5 linked regions of the Danio rerio genome follow. The protein of the gene in region 5 interacts with the protein of the main gene of each other region in a pairwise test. Links are inferred from orthologs where the notes say so. Each region holds a gene or a part of one and is shown on either strand. Other genes may lie near its edges.

Region 1 (4,142 bases), on a different chromosome or scaffold from region 5:
CTGGTCTTCAGCTGCGCTCCCCGGTCTGCTGTATTCTCCAGTCCAGAGCTTCACTGCCCAGTGTTTGAATTTTAATTTATATATTTATTTATATATTTATTTACCTTTTAATGATTTCTTGTTTACTTTTCTTGTTTGTTTACCCTTTAGTTTAATTATATATATATATATATATATATATATATATATATATATATATATATATATATATATATATATAAACTTTATTTTATACTGTTTGCTTATAATTAGATACTGTATGTGTACTGTATTTATTAAATGTTGTGAAATATATAATAAAAAGTTTGATATTCATTTGTGTGGCATTTTTACACTTTAAAGTTTACACATGCAGTTTTTAAATTAAATAGGAAAAATAAATGAACAATATTTCATATTAAGCAATACTGGAAAAGAATTGCTGCTTATCCTGTATTCTAGGCAGTAATGATAAACTGCCACAAAAAAATATCAATACAAGTAGTAAGAACGCCGCCTCGCGGTTGCTGAATGTCGCACGACAACGTTGCTACAGCCTTCTCACGTCTTACATTTCTACGTTGTGACAATGTAGCGAGCACGTAAGCGGCAACGTTGCCTTTGAAAAAATACAACGTTGTGCAGACATCGCTACAACGTAAATGTGTTTGTTGGGCGACCCTCATGATGTTTAAATGGCAACCTTATGACATCGTTGTGACAACCTTTAGCAACAACGTAGAATCCTCAACCTTTTTGCAATGTTGATACAACGTTGTAGGAAGGTCGCTACGTTGAGGCAACGTTGTGTGTTTGTTGGGAATTTTTGTTATGTTTATTTAAACGTTTCAATCTCTTCTGCATTGCTGTCTTCTGAGCGCATGCTATTTGATATGTAATTCACAACATGAAGAAAATGATTTTTTTCTCTTTTTCTTTTATTTGATCAAGCCATACAAAATAAAACGAACATATACAGTCAAGGCCGAAATTATTCATACATACCCATGTGTATGAGTAATGAATATGAAGGGAATTTCTCCTTGTCTTCTTCATAGACATGAATTAGTTGTTATAGTAACAACGCCCCCATGTTGTGTACATGAGACACAACGCAACGCTTGATCTTAGAACGCCTTTATTAAGAACTTTACAACACAAGACAATAGTTTTGTTTAAACAATGTGGATGCAAATGCTTACTGTCTGGCATGGTCATGGAATTCTCCACAGGGATCTATCGATATAAATTAATTTAACGAATAGTGTATCAATAATTAAAGTCGAACATAATTGGTTAAACCTGACAAGCGCAGAGAAAAGTAACAGACACCACGTTGCAACGCTGTCAATTGCCATTTGCCACTTTGGAGGTCTGGGAAAGAGGTTACACCTGAAAAATTAACACTGGTAACTTTAGAAATTGAGGTGAAAATATATAGTAAAATGTGAAAAAATAACGTTTTTTTTCAGACCAAACCGGTCACTTAAAAAACTATTATTGCCCTTTAGCCGCATATTCTCCATTTGTGTTTCTGTGGCGATTCTCAGTGTGGTGTGTTTGTGTGAGAGTAGCGCCGACTGTCGGGATGCATCGAGCAAGTGGACGGACCGAAGGGCGCAGCGGATGTTATGGAGAGTAATATATTTCCCGTAAAAGCTGACGAAGGGGATTGAAGCGCCGTTAAACAACCATGAATGCACAGACTGATTTCAGCTGAAGCAACAGGTAAGACAAAAGCGTTGAATGTGACGTGTCAAACAGGTGTTTAAATGACAGGTGTGTGTTCAGGTGCGTTGACAGGCCATTGACAGTGTTACATACAGTAACATCAACGCTAAAACAGCTTTATTATGGAAGGACGGATTCAGCACAGTGTTATGTTAATGTTTGAAGCAGTTTTGGATCGGTGATACTTTTTGTATGCGGATTATTGAAAAGTTGAAGTGAACTCTGGACTTCAGGCAGGTTAGCATTATGCTAGTAAACAGGAAATAGAGTATTTCAAATAATATTTTTTGGCATGTTCTATTGTAATACTAAGCTTTTGACATGGTACAATTGCGTCATCATGTTTTGCTTAACACTTTATATATCAAAGTACTACGTAAATATCATAGTACCGTATTGTTATGGAATGCTATTCTTGATTCGAATCACGTTTCATGAGTTTTCGATTAAATAAAATGTTCAAATGTTGGTGACGGTTCACTTTTATTATCATAATGCATGAGTTTGAATAATATTTATTAATTAATTAAAATGTAATGTTTATTATAATTATGCAATATAATGTATAGTTCGAGTGAAATAGCTGAGGAACAGGGAAAGGAACAATATTTGAGATTGTTTACTGCTTAAAAAGTAATTTGTACATTACTGCCCCAACAGTGATTATACATAAATATAGCAATTAACAAGCTTAATGCTTCTTTAAGCTTTAGTCACTGTGCCTGCCCACATTTTAGTTTTATGCTAGTTTTGAAACCACACAAACGCGCACACACCTACACACATTTAATTAATTAAAAATAATGGTTAAATGTTGCCAACAAGTGGACGGTCAGTTATTATGAATAATAATGAATACATAATAAAATAATCACGAGTAGGCATGAGTTGATATCCAGTTTTAAAACCGCTAAACTTTTCTGTCATACTGTTCATATAGTATACGTATATTGTTCTTTTTATTGAATATTTTATTTAGTTTTTAGAGCAACAGTATCTCCAGCAGAAAAAGACCCTCCACATTAAAATGTACTGGTCAACCAACGATTCAGAAAACATCTGAAAAACGAACTGCTTATGCAGTAACATCCAAGCATGCTGGCCTGAACAGTGCAGCGGCTTACTTTTTTATCCAAAAAAAGAGAAAAGATTCAAAGATGCCTTTTCAAGTTGTAAAGAAATCTGTGTTTTTAAAACCAATAAAGACAGCAGAAGTCTCTTTCAGCAGAAGTGTTTCTTAAAATTACATTTTAGGGATGTCCTGATCAGGTTTTTTTTGCCCTTAATCTGAGTCTGAGTAATTTGATTTTTACTATCTACCGATAACCAAACCCGATGCGATACGTCTATAATACATAAAAACTAAAAAAAAAGAATAAAAAAGAGCAAAGAAACAGATCCAGAATGTTCCTTATTTTTTTGAATAATTTACCTTATTTTACCATTCAACAACTCTGTTAACAAACAGAGCACTTCTGTGAGGTTGCTTGAATAATCAAGCGATAAACAACATATATTTTTTACTTTTGGACTTAAATGCAACAGTAAATATAAAAAAGCTAATATAAAAACAAATAGCACCTCAACTTAAAATGCCTGGCAGGCAATCACAAGTAGGCATGGGCCGGTATAAGATTCTGAGTGTATGATAACCTTGGAAAAAAAAAATCACGGTTTCAATGTTTTATGGTATTCTGCTGTCTTCATTTGTTTTAAAAAACACAGAGTTCTTTCAACTTGAAAAGGCTGTTTGAATATTGTTTCTGCTGAAGATACTGTTGTCCTAAAAAACTTAAAATGAAATGTAAAAAAAAAAGAAAAAAAAACTTGCATATACCGTAGGAACGGTATAGCAGAACATTTTGGCGGTTTTAAAACCTTGACTTTTACAAACCACGGTATACCTTGAAAATGATTATCGTCCCATACCTATTCCCAAGTTTAAAAATCTCATAGTTTGCTATGGCAATGTTGTTGTCCTTAACTTTATAATACCTCCAGACTGCAGACATACTCACGTTTTCCGCTTCAAGCTACTTCCATGTTCTACTCTGCCAGCATTTGACCAATAGTGTCTCTGCAACAAGGTGATGTCATGCCGCATGCGTTGCTGTTTCTGTGTGAAATCAAGAAAGAGGTTTAACTCTGTGCCACTGCATAACTATAGATGTTAAAAACAATGAGAATATATATATATATATATATATATATATATATATATATATATATATATATATATATATATATTATAATATAATGTCTATTATAATTATAATGTCTGATTCCAGTGGAGTCTAAAACCGCATGATCAGGCCCGATTTCCGATCATGTGATCTGGACATCCCTATTAAATATGTTGGGTTCAATAATTTTTACCCACTCTATAATCACAATACTCTGTTACCATAAAACCATGATATTTTTATTCAATG
Region 2 (3,519 bases), on a different chromosome or scaffold from region 5:
GCGGTAACCATTTTTTGGTTATAGCATTTTTTACAGGCTATCAGCAAAATTTTCAGCAGTTTTTTGTCAGATTTTTCTTCTAACATAGGATTTTTTTAGGCCTAAGTATAAAGTTGAGGAAGAAAAATCGATGGGGATATAGAATATATTTTCTAAATATTTATGAATGTCTTGCCAAAATGCCTGGATTTTTAAACATTTCCAGAAAATATGTGAATGATTTGCTTTATTTGAGCCACATAATCTCCAGCAGACTGCCTTTTTGTATAAATGTGTCTTTTGCTCAGGGATGACGAAAAAACGAATGATGTTTTTCCAACCAAATTCCCTCCAGACTGAGGAGGATGTTGATTTCCACTGTGTTTTAAAAATTATTTTCCACTCTTTCTCAGTAATTTCAATTTATTTTTTATATAATATGTGTTCTCTAATTTATTGTCTTGTAGACTTTTATACAACAAAAATTTTAACTAAAAAAGATGTAGTAGTGTAATGACGATACTGAAAATTGACAAAAAAAAAAAAGATAACAAATAATGAGATTATTTTTATGGAATTGCAGTAATGAGAAAGTAAGAGTATTTTGGGTGACAAAACAAACAAGGAGATATATATTTTGTAAAAATTTTCTGTTAATATAATACATTTACAACTTGCTTTTCAATGTTCTCTGGACATTTTGAAACAAGAAATTACATTAAAAAAACATTAAATGAACATCCAAATCAAATATTTCATGTTTCAGAAATACATCTAACGCGTTCAGAACATTGAGGGTTCATCCCTGTGCCCTAATCATCATGTTCCCTTCTAAGGGGTTTCGAAATGTTCGCTGTTGACATTGTAACATAAGTACATGTTCACTGTTAGATCAATTAATTGCTTTAATAAAAAAAACTTGACAAGTGACAAGTTGAACTTTTAAGGTGACTTAAAATTCAGCAAACTACAGTATGTGAAAAATGTGAAAATTAAGTCAATAGGTTTAACTGTCACCGTCTCGCTACCGGGACACTTAAGATAACTTCACTATATGTCAGTCTAATCCTAATCATGATTCTATCATGAATCATGATGCCTATATCTTCTAAATAAATATTTTACCATATGTCAATACAATATATTTTATAATATGTCACCTATTGGACTGTTTGCAGTTACATTTTTAAAGTCTAAACATAAGTCAGTAATGACAAACTATATATGATTTCAAAGCTTAAAATGTCTATTTTTTGATGGTTTAATTGATTTTAAGGAATTATTACTGAGCAACAGTTATTTATTTATTTTGAAACAGGAGTATTGATCAGAGTATTGATGTCTTAAGAGAATCAATTTTAATGAAACACAACAAAACACTGTCCAAACTGTGTTGAACCCTTTTAAATATAATAAAAATTGTACATCTGTCTAAAATGAGACTAAGCTTATATCTATATAGCAAAGTGTTGAAGATTGGCGTTCATTTAAGTCCTAGGTCTCAAACTCAATACCTGGAGGGCCGCAGCTTTGCACAGTTTTGCTCCAACCCTAATCAAAGATAGCTGATCTAATAATGTCTAGTGATCTTGACAACTTTGACTCGTTGGATCAGCTGTGCTTAATTAGGGTTGGAGCAAAACTGTGCAGAGCTGTGGCCCTCCCGGAATTTGAGGTCTATGAAGTTGAACATGCCATTTTCATGTCTATGTTCAAAAAGTGGGGGTTGCAGTTAAGGGGTTTTAATCACTTTCTACAAATAAAGTCAACTAATGGATTATTCAGAGATCCACCTGAATGTCCAGTACAGTAATGCAGATCCTAAATGAGTAGTACATGTAACAAATACAAGTTAAAATATAACAATAAATAATAAACTCATAAGAAAATAAGGTGTAGTGTTCAGCACTGATGAGGTTTGTCTTACATGTCTCCTTCCAGTCCTTATCCTCCTCCTCTAGTGTGTTTTTGCTGCTCTGCACCTCCTTTAGGCACTGGTAAATCTGCTGTTTCCTCTCCTGCTCCAGCCTCCTCAGCTCCTCCTCAGCCTTACGCCTCTCCTCCTGCTCCATTTTCTGAGCAAAAACAAGCATCCAGAGACCACAAATAAACTTAAAAGGAGAAAAAGGGAACAAAGGGTAACAAAAAAAGCCCCTGCAATAAGTAAAGTATTAGTTTACACAAAATATAAATTCAGTTATTAATTACTAAAACCCCCTGACACCTTTATTAATCTTTAGAATACAATTTAAGGTATTTCAGGTGAAATGTGAAAGCTCCCTCAAACTCCATACACAACAATGGTTTTGACTCGAGCAGAAAGGAACCAAAAGCATCCTCGAAACAGACCACACACCTGCAGTGGTTCATTCAAAATCCTATCATGTCAATTGTGCTCATATAAAACAGGAATAATGTCTTTATTCAACAGTTTCTCTCCTCAGTGTGAGTACAGGGTGTGCACCACATTCATGAGCACTGTGCACTGATGCATACCCTGGATGCCCATGACCAACTTTGAAACAAAGCACACATTTTATGAGAACCTGCACTGTAAAAAAAAAAAAAAGAAAAAGAAAAGAAAAAAGAAAAAAAAGTTGACTCAACTTAAAATTGTACGGCTTGGTTAAAACTTTACAAAAGGTCCAAACATCATCTGTATGTGCTCGTCATGGGATTCTACTGTGCAAAGTAGTCCACAGGGTTCACTGGTCTTAGTGTAAACTGGCTCGCGTGTTCACTGCTACAGATTTAAACTGTGACAAATGTCACTCCGAACCTGCAAATCTACTTCACATGTTTTGGACCTATCCAGCTTCGTTTCCTTCTTGGGAGTCTGTTTTTGATTCATTTTCAGTAATTACATTTATTAAAATTGATCCATCTCCGTTAATTGGCCTGTTTGAAATTATTCGTCAATACACACACACACACACACACACACACACACACACACACACACACACACACACACACACACACACACACGCGCAGGCACGCACACACACACACACACACACACACACATATATATATATATATATATATATATATATATATATATATATATATATATATATACACATACATACACAGTTGAAGTCAGAATTATTAGCCTTCCTTTGGATTTTTTTTCTTTTTTAAATATTTCCCAAATGATGTTCAACAGAGCAAGGAAATGTTCACAGTATGTCTGATAATATTTCTTTTTCTAGAGAAAGTCTTATTTGTTTTATTTTGGCTAGAATAAAAGCAATTATAAATTTTTTAAACACCATTTTAGGGAAAAAATTATTAGCCCCTTAAGGCTATTTTTTTCTTCGATAGTCTACAGAACAAATCATCATTATACAATAACTTGCCTAATTACCCTAACCTGCCTAGTTAACCTAATTAACCTAGTTAAGCCTTTAAATGTCACTTTAAGCTGTATAGAAGTGTCTAGAAAAATATCTATTAAAATATTATTTACTGTCGTCATGGCAAAGATAAAATAAACTAGTTATTATTAGTTATTAAAACTATTATGTTTAGAAATGT
Region 3 (4,258 bases), on a different chromosome or scaffold from region 5:
CTTTAAATGTTTAACAGTGTTACTGGTTAAAATCGATTCCTTCCTTTATCGAGAGACTATTAAGTTGTTAAGATTATATTAGAATGCCTATTAAGATTCTACAGTGGAAAACACTGCAGACAATTCATGGCCATTCAATAAGGCACTGCATTGGTAACATGGGTCAGGCCTGTAGCCAGCCTGGTGAAAGTGGGTGGTTCTTTTTGTTTTTAAAGGCAGACTTTTTTTTTTTTTTTTTTTTTACAGCTATTTGGTTCATTTTCTATTTGATTTTTAAAAATTAATATATAATTCATTTTTTTAATTTTAAATTTTCTATTAAATACTGCATTTTAGTGACATTTCAGCACCGTTTTTTTGCTGGATTAGCCTGTCAGATGGTTGAAAAATAGGAATCTGTTAAATTTTTTAATTAAATCTGTTGCCTGTTGTCATTTATTAGACGAATGACAAACTGGTCAGTACATTCAATCTTCCACAGTCCAAATTTGGCCATTTGAATCATAAATTAAATTAGGTAAAGAATAATAAATTATAAAAGTACATTTGAAAGTTACAAATGACAACAAGTCTAATTGGTATTAAAGTTAAACTTTAATATTGGCCGCTTTTGGTGCTTCAAACTTTTTTATTGGTCTTAAAGCCTTTTTCATTGGGTTATCATATATTAATTATGGCATAGGAGTCAAAACAGGACAAAAGTGCTCATGTTTAGGACAAATTCTGGACGTTTGTCAGTGGAGGGTGGGTCTTTCATACCACCCGAACCCCCCCCCCCCCCCCCCCCTAGCTATGGTCCTGTGGGTGCACATCACCCAAAAATTAAATTAAATAAATAAAAATAAATAACCTCAAAATCTATATTTGCATATGTAAATTAGCAAATTTTGGACTATTAATATATCTTATGAAATGATTTAGCTTCATTGCCAAAAATAAGGGGCACAAAATATATAACCAAATCAATGAATCTAAATTAATCTCTTATCCTTCTCTTTTGAGTTTCAGGCTGAAATGTGTCCCCAGCATGAAGTTGACACACTGAGCTTCATCTACCTTTATTTTTCTTACATGTGTAATTGTTTTTGAAGTCTTTTCCTAATAGTGCTCGTCTAGTCTAGAGTTTGAGAATGACCCCACTTAGTTTCCATGGAAACCGAACTGTCAAAAAAAGCAAGGACTACAAACAGACCCAGCTAGCTTAGCGTGACTGTCACAGATAAGGCGTCTGTTTGACACACAGTTGCCTTTTATTGCGTTACACGCCTTGTTTCCAAATATAACCGCAGAGAGGAACAATGTCCGTTTTCCTGTCGAAGAAGACGACGTAGTTTCGAATGCTAACAAGCGGTTTTAGAACTACACTTCCCGGCATCCTCTACGCCGTCACGTACGTGACGTCACAATCAGTATATATGGGTGCCGTGCGGCATTCCTTACTCTATTGTTACATTGTAACAAACCGGGGCAGAAGAGAGGCCCATAGGGTCCTCGGGCCGACAGATACTACACATCATTTTTGTTTTTTCTTTCCTTCGGGGTGGAAATATAACGTTGCGATTTGTCTAAACATAGCGCAGAACACAACCACCAATCCGGAGGAAAAAAAGCCCCGAAGGCTCGGCTCTATCTGGTCTTTTTCAATGCAGGCGTTTTAAAGGATCACCTAGAGGTTTTATGTGCATTTATTGGACGCCTCAACGCCAGGATTTGTCATTTCTAGTGAATACGGTCCTTGTCTGCCTTCGTCTGCCCCGTTTTTTATCTTTACAGAGCTTGACTGCAACGTTGAATTCTCGCATAGGCTTCTTAACACACAAACCCCCCATTTACACTCCACGTAAAGACTAATATCCATTGTTTACGATGCTTAAATGTTCAGACATCACTATATCTTCGTGAAAAAGCTGATATTTCCTCTTTGGTCTGGTCATTTCCATGGGCTGAAGTCGCTTTTGTCTGTCATCTCGTAACCTTGTGGAAGTCTAAAGCTGAAATATTGGCTCAGAAAATCCCCAAAGAACAGAAAACCATCCAAATAAAGGAAGCACAGGAACGAGCGACAGATTCGGCGGTTTAAAGGCTGTGTATTTCTGCCCAAGGTAAGTCAACGAGAAAAAGGTTTTGTGTTTCACTTTTGCCTTGTCTTTCCCCATACAGCCCAGCCTACACGGAAAAATGGGTTGATCATTGGACCGGTTGCAACACAGCATGCCATTTTCTGCCCTGTCATAAGACCCTCTATCTGTATTTTCCAATAAAGCATATAAAATCATGGGATTGATCATATGTGATGTGTCATCCCAATCATAGTGGGTCATACTGTGGCAGGCCGTTTTACCATCTATCCCTTTAACGTGAATGTGTTTCAGCACTTCATTTATAAGCACTTTGTCAATCTCTGCTATTGTGTTGGTAAATTGTTTCCCATTGCATTTAATATTTCAGTGACAGTATATTCTAGTAATTAATATACAAATTGTTTTCTTTGATGCTTGATATAATGTGTTATCCTAACAATATTGCATTCAAATATACACCAATCTACTTTATGTGTTTGTCACTAGTTCCAACAGATGTTACTAGAGATATTTCTTTACTCACTTGTGTTTTTCTGGTAGTGGCCAGAAGTCAAATTTGGAAAATGTAGTTCATAATTTGACATGCACAACACTACATATGATGATACTATTAGTAAATCTTAAAAAGCAATGACAACTGAAATACACAGTCATCTATATAATTGGATGTCAAATGTTTGCAAGTTGTTTCTATACTAATAATTGCCAAATAAGTGTCATTAACTTGTTATTTAGTGTGATTACTGAATAAATAATTGCTGAATCTATTATAAATGCACATTATTGGTAAAATAATTGCATTTTAATAGACACTGTTGTGCAAACAGTCATAATAAATCGTCAATTATTTGCCTATTTCACTGCCAGACCCCTTTAATATCCCAGATGCTGGGTGTGTATGGAAGCGGTGCACGGCAGCATCTACAAATAAAAATAATGTTTGCATTTTAAGAAATTGCACCGTCACCTATGCAGTTTGTCCATTGAAAGGCATAGTGTTTGTGTGTGTCACATCTAGGACGAGCTATTTCAGTGCGTACCAGTCAAACAGGCTGATGTGTAGTCAGTTCGGCAAGGTGATTATTCATGCTTTCTGTCCACCTCAAATAGACCACAGGATGTGTGTGTGTGTGTGTGTGTCTGCAAACATAGACCAGCCCACAGTCGCATCATTGCTTTTAAATGACCTGTGCTGCATTCATTCATTTTCCTAAACATGTCATTTCTTGATTTTTTGAGGATTTGCGCTACTGGATTTGCATTTTTGGATTGAAGGAGTGTCTCTGGATGTATGGGATCATATTTATTGCCTCGGGGACCATCTCTGGGATATGTAAATTATGTCAAACATCCGACATATGCCTTTCAATGAAGTTCGTTTGTCATTTATTTGATATGCATTGGATTATTATGTTTGCTTTCAGGCTCATTTTTTGTGCTCCGGTTTTTAATAGTAATGGTCCCCAATAACCGCATGGTACAGTGTGCAGTGCTTTTAAAAGCCGCTTGCCAGTTGATCATAATTCAAAAATGAAGAACTACTGAGTACTTTGCATCAAAAATGGTGTGTTTTATACCAGTTTATTGCATATTTGAGATATCCATGTTTTAGGTTTTGATCATGGAGAATATGTGAACCTGATTTCACCAAGTGGGACATGTTCCTGGGTTAACATCTATGTTGATCCTGGAACAAAATTCCAATCAGCCAATCGGAATTGAGGGCTATGTTTTCCGTTTATGTTATGCTTAGGCTTCGGTTAGGTTTATGCACTTCTATATGATTGTTATCCAACTATTATTCACCTCTGATTTTGGGAATAATTTACCGTTATGGTTGGGTTTAGAGGTAGGGAATAGGTATGGATTATATTTTCCCAACATGTGGCAATGTGTGAAACTAAAATTTACAGTTTTTAGATTCAAGATTAATAGTTTTCTAATGAAAAGTGCTGGTGATTATTGTTATCATTTTAGCATTGATTTATTTAGGTTTTACAATTAAGAGGCCACTTAATAATTCATTAGTATTTTACTGGATTCATTTATTATGTGAATGAGTAAAGTGCAAATTTCAAATTTAAATTTCAGGGCTTTTTTTGCCAAGAAAATCACAGTCAGTCAAAATAACAAATGTTTTCATTTGTTGTAATTGAAAATCAGAGTTTTCCTAGTGA
Region 4 (4,006 bases), on a different chromosome or scaffold from region 5:
AGGCACTAGAAATAAACAAATTTACCCGCATAATTACATTAGTATCGCACCAGGAACAGTATTTTTAAAAACAGGACTCATTTTGTTGCACAATGTAATCCATTATTAACAATAAATATCTCAAGAGTCTATATGGCTTCAGAGTCCGACAAGTTCTTGGATTAGAACATCAAACCTGCTGTGTTTTTTAAAGTGTCATTTTGAAGTGGCATTCATCACAATGTCTTCTGGATAAGCGCGCATGATAGACTACGCCAAAAGTAGATTCTTAATAATATGGGCCGATATCTTCATATCCAACATAGCTTGGCCAATGGGGAAAGATTCCACGGGAGCATCTGGGGCTGCCATATCGGTCAAAATGAATGTCCCAGTCGCTCTGGGAATATTGCTGATGCCCACCGTTAGATTCATTTGAACTCTTCCTCAGTGCTGACTGAATGATTCTGTAATTCTTTCCTTGGTTGTTATCCCAGAGTGTATCACCATTGACCTCATAGCAAATAGCGAACTCGATGCGTTCATGTGAGGGCACCTGTTCAGGCAAACTAGCTTCAAATGAAAAAGTGTCCCGGTTTGAGCCGGTGTAAGTGTCCTTTACGTACTGGCATTCTACATCTGTGTGGTTCTTCCAAGTGTCAAATGTAATGCGAAGCTTAACAGACTTCTCAAAGGAAATGTTCTTGACTTTGACTGTGCCCATTATAGATTTCTCCTTAAGCATGCAGTGTTCGAGACAGACATGATCATTTTCTATTCGTTGACGGAATTTCAAGTAATCAGCAGACGGCTGCTCAAAATCGAGGGTTAATTTGTCCTTTCCTTCTGATACAGTCAGCGAAGAGGTGAAAAAATTATCGATGTTGTCTGGAATGTCAATGGGGTCATCGAATTCAGAGAATATCTTCACCACGGTCAGAGCGAGGCCCTTGTGATCAGCAAAAGAGACATGTTTTTTGGCCCTGCCAGGTATCATCAAGGCTCTGCTGACCCCATTGAACTCGGACTGCTCCTTAAGAGAGCTAAAACTAATTTTGGAGCTTTGACACTGGTTTAGACATGGCTGCAAGGGCCCGCTGTATTTAGATGCCCTTGGGTTCAGGAACTCATCGCTTGACAGATAAAGCGACATGGCCAGTTCGATAGGCATGGTAGATTCTTTGGGAGGGCAGCTACGTGCACTAAAATAAAATAAAAAAAACATGTATTAGTAACCAAATTAATACATCACGAGAGGTTTGCATTCCTAAAAATTAGCTTCCCTCAAAAAGAAGCTAAAAAGCTAAAGAGAAGCTTAAAGAGTGCACCCCTGGTCTGTGAATACTGCTGATGAAATCTTCCAATGCATGACTAATTTAAATTTCACCCTCATACTTTAAAGTAACTCAGGATGAAGTAACTCATATAGGCTCAGTATGAAGCAATTAAACCTTTATGCACAGCAACTAGGGTTTAATATAGACTCTATGAAAGAATTAAACATTACGCAAACGACTGCAGTAAGTGGGTCTACAAGTCAAACAAGTTTATCTTAGCTCGAGGCCGGAGAGTGGATATTGAAACCCAGAGAGGTTGTACTACACAAAGATAGTGTGCACCCTCTAGTGTTCATAAATTATAAAACGTTATAATTAGAAGAAATATATGCACATAAGCCAAGCTGGACTATATGCAAGGATATATTACTAATAGTAATTGACAATATCTTTATGAAAGCCTACATTTTGAGAGTATTGGGAGACAAGGTGAGCTGTAATACTCTCAGTTTATGCAATGACAAGCGAGTTACATAACTTACAACGTCATGTCTGGAAAGATGTGGAGGGCTGTTGCATTATTTTTACAGTGCACTTGTATCAGTCTCATATTGATTGTGGTGTATGGCCTATAATGGACACACTTGTAAGAACAACTAAGCTATACACTGTTAACATTAACGAACATTTATATGATTTAAAGTTGTTTAAATAACTATTGATGACTACATTAAATTCACGCACAACTATGCATAAATCGTCTTCTTTATTTAGTAATGGTGCAAGTAATTTTAGTTATTGTAGATTTTACAAACTTATAAACATCCAAATATAGAAATATAACTTAATTTAAGCCAACTATTACATGAAACAAACTTTTACCACACAGCAAGTCTAAGCTTGTTTCCATATACGGTCTGGAACAATGTAACATTGTTCCGCCTGATTAGGTAAAGCACGAGATAAACTCACCTTTTATTTTTATAAGAAAGTGGTTTAATTGATATCGTAGATAATCACAATAAACATGAATGAAACAAATCGTTAGATTCACACCTGTTGGAGCTCATTTGCAGTTTCAACTTTCTCCCGGGTCCAAAATACCATCACGCTTTATCATGCTGCTTCCTTCGTCTACGGTCAACTCCAGCTGTTTTAATCGGCGAATCTTTTTAAAAACGAAAACGCATGCGATATAGTTTTTCCATATGTTTTTAAAGCGTTATATCATTTTTGTCGTTTTGTGTCATGTTCTTCCTGGTTTGTAGCTGTTTCCCTGAGCACGACAGTGTTTAATAAAGTTTCCTCCCTTCTTATATTAAAAAAGCCTGCGTGCTGGGGCACGATTCAATGCAGTGCATTCACTTGTAATTCCTTTTATGTTTAAAATTAATTACAAAGAAGCAACCTGAAAAGCACAAGTTAATGCATACCTGTGTTACGGCATTTAAATTAGGTCAAACTTCTTCATCAAGCCCAGTGTCTCTTGTAAGTGAACGCAGCTTCAACGCTCAGTAAAAGCCTCGTGGGGCATGAGTGACTTTCTTAGCTTACCGGTACCACAATTACATTTTTGCAGACGATCAGCCTGTGTTCACGTGAACTACCTGTTTGGACCAATCATGGCCGGCTACTGGGGCATGCATGCACCCCTTGCTGATCAATGGCTGTCACGTGACTGAAAGCACTAGGGGGTCAGTAGGCCGAGACTGTAAAGCCCCATGCTGTTATAAAAATATCCAACACTTTTCCCTCTAAACATGAACCCACTAACCTCTGCATGCTTTAACATTCTGTAGATAATTGGTGACTTTTTATTCTCTCAGTTCTAATTGATTTATCATAATAATAATTATTATAAAAAAGTGCAAAATGTTTAATTTATAGCACAGGTCATTTTCCTCTCACAATTCTGGCTTTACATCTCACAACTGGTTTTAAATCTACAAATTCTGTCATCTTTCTAAAATTAGAAAATTCTAAAATTACATCTCTGAGTTTTATCTCAATATGCAGTTTTGTTTATATCTCTGAATTCTGAGTTTATGTCTCAGAATTACTACAAGGTTTTTTTCATATTGTTTACGTCTCGCAATTCTGAAGTTTCCATTACAAACTTTATTACTTAGAGTTGGGAATGAACGTAATCCCAGAATTATTACTTTATTTCCAAAAATTTTGAGTTTATATCTCAAATTAACACTGAAACACAAACCTTAAACTCTGAGAACAACTTTTCAAGATGCTAACTTATAAATGCACAATTATAACATGAAACTGTAAGATATAAAGTCACAGTATACTATAGCTATAGCTGGGAACAAAAGAAAGATTTTATTATTTTTTTATTTTTTATTTTGCAGGAACACATTTCATGGAAGGTCACTGTTTTTTCAGGGAAAGGTACTAATGTCACTGGTCTGTATTTGACATTCAAGGTTTCTGTCTAGTTGTTTCTGGCCTTCACTTGCATAAATCAATCTAAAATTTGTATCCAGCATGCCAATCACATGCTAGACAAAGTCAAAACCACATGCAAAGACTAGAAAGAAAATACTTATTATATTGGTCAGCAATAACAGCTGGTTTTGACCCTCAAAACTGTGGTAAAAACCATCTTTTAATAACATCACTGCATGCTTATTTAGACAGTTTCGACAGGAAAGAATATTTAGATATTATGTATTATTATTTGCTTTCTCTTCCCACAGTAAGTTACATGAAACTTGTCATGGGAGTCTAATGGAGTC
Region 5 (4,057 bases):
ACACTACCTGATAAAAGTTTTGTTGTCTACCCCAGTAGTAGGGGCAACAAATAATAAATTGACTTCTAGTTGATCATTTAAAAAAGTGGCAGAAGGTAGATTTTTCAGATGAATCATTTGTTGAACTGTTTTCCAATCATCACAAATACTGCAGAAGACCTATAGGAACCCGCATGGAACTAAGATTCTCACAGATATCAGTCAAGTTTGGTGAAGGAAAAGTCATGGTTTGAGGTTCATTCAGTATGGGGGCATGCAAGAGATCTGCAGAGTGGGTGGCAACATCAACAGCCTGAGGTATCAAGACATTTGTGCTGCACATTACATTACAAACTACAGGAGAAGGCAAATTCTTCATCAAGCGCTCTTCATACCTCAGTTTCCACAACAAAGTTCCTAAAAGCAAAGAAGGTCAAGGTGCTCCGAATTGGGCAGCCTTGTCACCAGACATAAACATTATTGAGCATGTCTGGGGTAAGATGAAGGAAGAGGCATTGAAGATGAATTCAGAGAATCTTGATGATTGCTGGGAGCCCAGCAAGAACGCTTTCTTTGCCATCCCAGATGACTTTATTAATAAGTTATTTAAGTCATTGCAGAGATGTATGGATGCAGTCTTCCAAGCTCACGGGAGTCATACACAATAATAATTATCTTTCCACTGCAGCATGACTTTATATTCTAAACTGTACATTATTTCAGTTAAGTAACAAGACTTGTCTAAGCAAAGTCAGATCTTACTGTCCTAATTAAATAATTAAAAATCGAGGCATGATCATATTTTATTTCAGTAAAATAAGCTTAAACTTAATAAGCTTAGAAGTCAAGTTATTATTTGTTGTCCTTAAAATTTGGATAGACAACAAGACTTTTGTCAGGTTTACATCAGTGGAAACAAATACTAGTCTTTGTATTTTTAATGTGTTTAAGTTAAGGTATTAAAATTAAGTTTTTAACTTTGCATTACATAAACATTAATATTGATTTTATTAAAATATTGAAAAAAATAAATAAATGCCAAGAGTATACCTATTATGAAAAAAATCCATCTAGAAGAGAAACCAAATACACAAATAGCCAAACATTAAACAATAGGAAACACCATTAACAATTAAACTCCTATCAACAGGTCAAAAGTTTGCCTTCAAACGCGATTAAATATTTATGAAAAGGTCATTAATATTGACGTAACTGCTTGTAACCAAGTGAATGACGTCATTGCAAGCGCCACCTAGCGGCCGTTGCTTGAAGCGCTGCATGCAGAACTCGGCACTGAAGATGGCGGAGGGGGAATTAAACGTTGACAGTCTCATCTCTCGACTTCTTGAAGGTAAGCTGTTTGAAAATTTAGCCTTTCTAACGTTTACACGATAAACCCAGTGATTAGACACTAGTTGTGACTTGTTTTATCGCCGGTGAATTGGAAATTTTGCGTTTAAAAAGAGAGCAAAGCTTCGGGTCTCTGCGCCCTGTTTACAAACACGGCAGTGGCCCCGGGGTTTGGGCAGCTTTCATACCAGCGCTGGGAGGTTCAGATTAGATCTAATATCTACCAAAGCAGGGATGAGACGCGAGGGCCTGTGGTTTATACAGCAGATGTTTAAAGAAAGCGAGAAATGGGAGAAAGGGCAGGACGATGCGGTGCTCGCTGCGTCGTCGACTTTAGGCGAATGCAACCGACGTAAACCCGATTCTCCATTAGACTCTGCTTCTACTGGTTTCAAAATACAGGATTACCGTGTTATTCACCGTGTACGTTAAAACTCTTGATTTATGTGAAACAAATGGATTTTCTAAATCATCTTATTAATGTTCACGGTGTTTTGTGTGTAACAATACACTCAATCTTATCCGTAATTGTACAATGTAAGTAACGTTACAATTCACAGCGTTACATTATCGTTACTCTTCATATTTCCCTTTTAATATGTATTATTTGTCATAATTTTTCTTCCCTTCATAAATACATATTATCTTTATACCGTTGCATACCTTTAATGTCTCAATGCTTTCATTGGAAACGTTTGTTATAACTTTAGTAAAGCCATACAAAGAATGTAAGGTAACATTGAGTTGTATATGTTGTTGTTGTTTTTGTTGAGATATAGGTGCTGTTTTTTACTCAGACATTTAAAAAGACATATTTTAGAGCAGTGATCACAATACCGTGAAACTGTGATATTTTTATCCAAGGTTATCATACCGTCAGAATCTTATATCGGTCCATGCCTATTTATCACTGCATATTCACAAGGTTTCATTGCTATAAGGCCGCAGCTAAATTTGGTTGTCAGTTCAGATTTGATTGTTTAAATCTGTGCTGTTTACACAGTTCAGTCATTTATATGAGTGGCAACTACAGCAAGTGCTTTATTTCAAGGAAATGCAATTGATGGGTACATATACAGACATTCTACAGCTTGTAACAAAAAAAAATTAAATAATAACTAAATGTTAATGTTGTAATTGACACAGCAAACCTAAAAACCAATGTTTTAACTTAGAATAAACAAGCTTGTAGTGATAAACTGTATTTTTAATGTCAAAAGACACTTCGCAAGGATTGCTTGTAATTTGTATATGTGGCAAAACTTGAAGAGTGGCCTCTGTGAAGCAGCCTTCTAAAGAAATGTGTTTAAAGTCATCTTTAGTAGCTGTTAACAAAAATGTTGCTATGGTTACCACATTTACATTGTCTCTTGTTTTACTCACGATAGTTTGCAATTATTTGGGGGATTCCTCCTCTATTTAAATACAATTAACACTTTTAAAGCGTTATTTTGTGTACTTGGCCGTAGTAATGTTTCACTTCATTTCCCTAATGATTTAATTGCTTATTATTCCCCTTATTATAAGATTACACTGAATCCTCCTCTTAATGGCATTGAAAGCTGTATATTTCCTCCCGCGTGCTGTAAGGAATGTTACACTATATGTAGTTGTACTTTTAGGCCAATTCACAACTCTCAGACACAGATAACTAGGCATGGGCCAGTATAAGATTCTGATGGTTTGATAACCTTTCAAAAATATTGTGGTTTCTTGGTTTTGTGATAACTGCTCTGAAATATATGCTCTTTTTAAACCTCTGGGTAATAAACAAAAACTTTTTTCCCCTTTGAACACAATATCTTTCATTTTGAAGAGAAATGTTTAAAATATTTTGTAACAGTAAACATGTCCAAATAGTTCAAATGAATCCTTGTCTTTCTGTTATGAAATGAATCATTGTCTTTATTAGTTTTAAAAAAAGATTTTTTTATTTTATTTAAAACAACGTCTTTGGATATCTTTTCTGCTAGACATTCTGTTGTCCTAAAAACAAAAAAAGTACACATATCTTAGGAATGACATTGCAGAAAATTTGACAGTTTTGCACCTTGACTTTTCCAAACTGCGATATACCTTGAAAGTGGTGATTGTTTCATGTCTACTGACAGCTGGCAGTTTTATTGAATGGGTGAATTTTTTGATTCAGTGTTTATTAGATTTGCGAAAGGTTTGAGAAATTATATGCTGTTATCTGGTGATTGTTGGCATTTATTGGCATAGTAAAATACATGCCAAATAGAAATAGCCATTAGAATAACTATAGATAGTTACTTTTAATAAGTTAGAATTCAATAGAAATTTAATCTTAAGGCTCGTACACACCGGGACGCTTTTCGTTTGCGTTTATGGTCAGCATTTTTCAAGGTGTTTTTCCGGATTCAAACCCAAGCAATTTTGCAAAAGACCCAAGCAAAAGGATATGCAAAATTACTCCTTGACGTTAGATGACGCTACACAACTTTAAGCTTCTGACATTCGCATGTAACACTAAAGAAGAAGACAAAGTTGACATGCTTGTTGTTATGGATGGTTCAAGTAGCAGCTCCAGCTTTAGCGATGAGGAAATGATTATTGTTCACCAATGCAATAAGCAGCTCCACCTTCATATCGCCTCTAGGCATCTTCTTGACAGCTTTGCGCTTGAGAGCCTCCAAGTGCTGTTTACTGTAACTTCAGCAGCTCCGTGCACGTGAACAAAAGTGCCAACCTGATTGGTGGAGAAGGT

Evidence for each region.
Region 1: the proteins of ppp1cb (region 5) and ppp1r16a interact in binary tests that used the Homo sapiens proteins (3 or more experiments, as listed by UniProt). The two-hybrid records come from large-scale screens. The link is inferred for Danio rerio from reciprocal best matches to the Homo sapiens genes PPP1CB and PPP1R16A.
Region 2: the proteins of ppp1cb (region 5) and sh2d4a interact in binary tests that used the Homo sapiens proteins (3 or more experiments, as listed by UniProt). The two-hybrid records come from large-scale screens. The link is inferred for Danio rerio from reciprocal best matches to the Homo sapiens genes PPP1CB and SH2D4A.
Region 3: the proteins of ppp1cb (region 5) and csrnp2 interact in binary tests that used the Homo sapiens proteins (3 or more experiments, as listed by UniProt). The two-hybrid records come from large-scale screens. The link is inferred for Danio rerio from reciprocal best matches to the Homo sapiens genes PPP1CB and CSRNP2.
Region 4: the proteins of ppp1cb (region 5) and ppp1r3b interact in a two-hybrid assay, tested with the Homo sapiens proteins (2 studies listed by BioGRID and IntAct). The link is inferred for Danio rerio from reciprocal best matches to the Homo sapiens genes PPP1CB and PPP1R3B.

The regions. Positions count from the first base shown.
Region 1 is NC_133187.1:14,314,845-14,318,986, forward strand, and holds the start of ppp1r16a (protein phosphatase 1 regulatory subunit 16A), read left to right. Parts: upstream 1-1,325; 5' UTR 1,326-1,406; intron 1,407-1,553; 5' UTR 1,554-1,707; intron 1,708-4,142. UniProt on the Homo sapiens protein: Inhibits protein phosphatase 1 activity toward phosphorylase, myosin light chain and myosin substrates.
Region 2 is NC_133185.1:7,473,439-7,476,957, forward strand, and holds part of sh2d4a (SH2 domain-containing protein 4A), read right to left. Parts: intron 2,055-3,519; coding exon 1,907-2,054; intron 1-1,906. UniProt on the Homo sapiens protein: Inhibits estrogen-induced cell proliferation by competing with PLCG for binding to ESR1, blocking the effect of estrogen on PLCG and repressing estrogen-induced proliferation. May play a role in T-cell development and function.
Region 3 is NC_133198.1:36,610,532-36,614,789, reverse strand, and holds the start of csrnp2 (cysteine/serine-rich nuclear protein 2), read left to right. Parts: upstream 1-1,443; 5' UTR 1,444-2,102; intron 2,103-4,258. UniProt on the Homo sapiens protein: Binds to the consensus sequence 5'-AGAGTG-3' and has transcriptional activator activity. May play a role in apoptosis.
Region 4 is NC_133196.1:21,261,076-21,265,081, forward strand, and holds the start of ppp1r3b (protein phosphatase 1 regulatory subunit 3B), read right to left. Parts: upstream 2,804-4,006; 5' UTR 2,690-2,803; intron 2,425-2,689; 5' UTR 2,327-2,424; coding exon 2,313-2,326; intron 1,182-2,312; coding exon 269-1,181; 3' UTR 1-268. UniProt on the Homo sapiens protein: Acts as a glycogen-targeting subunit for phosphatase PP1. Facilitates interaction of the PP1 with enzymes of the glycogen metabolism and regulates its activity.
Region 5 is NC_133192.1:27,042,076-27,046,132, reverse strand, and holds the start of ppp1cb (serine/threonine-protein phosphatase PP1-beta catalytic subunit), read left to right. Parts: upstream 1-1,257; 5' UTR 1,258-1,278; coding exon 1,279-1,330; intron 1,331-4,057. UniProt on the Homo sapiens protein: Protein phosphatase that associates with over 200 regulatory proteins to form highly specific holoenzymes which dephosphorylate hundreds of biological targets.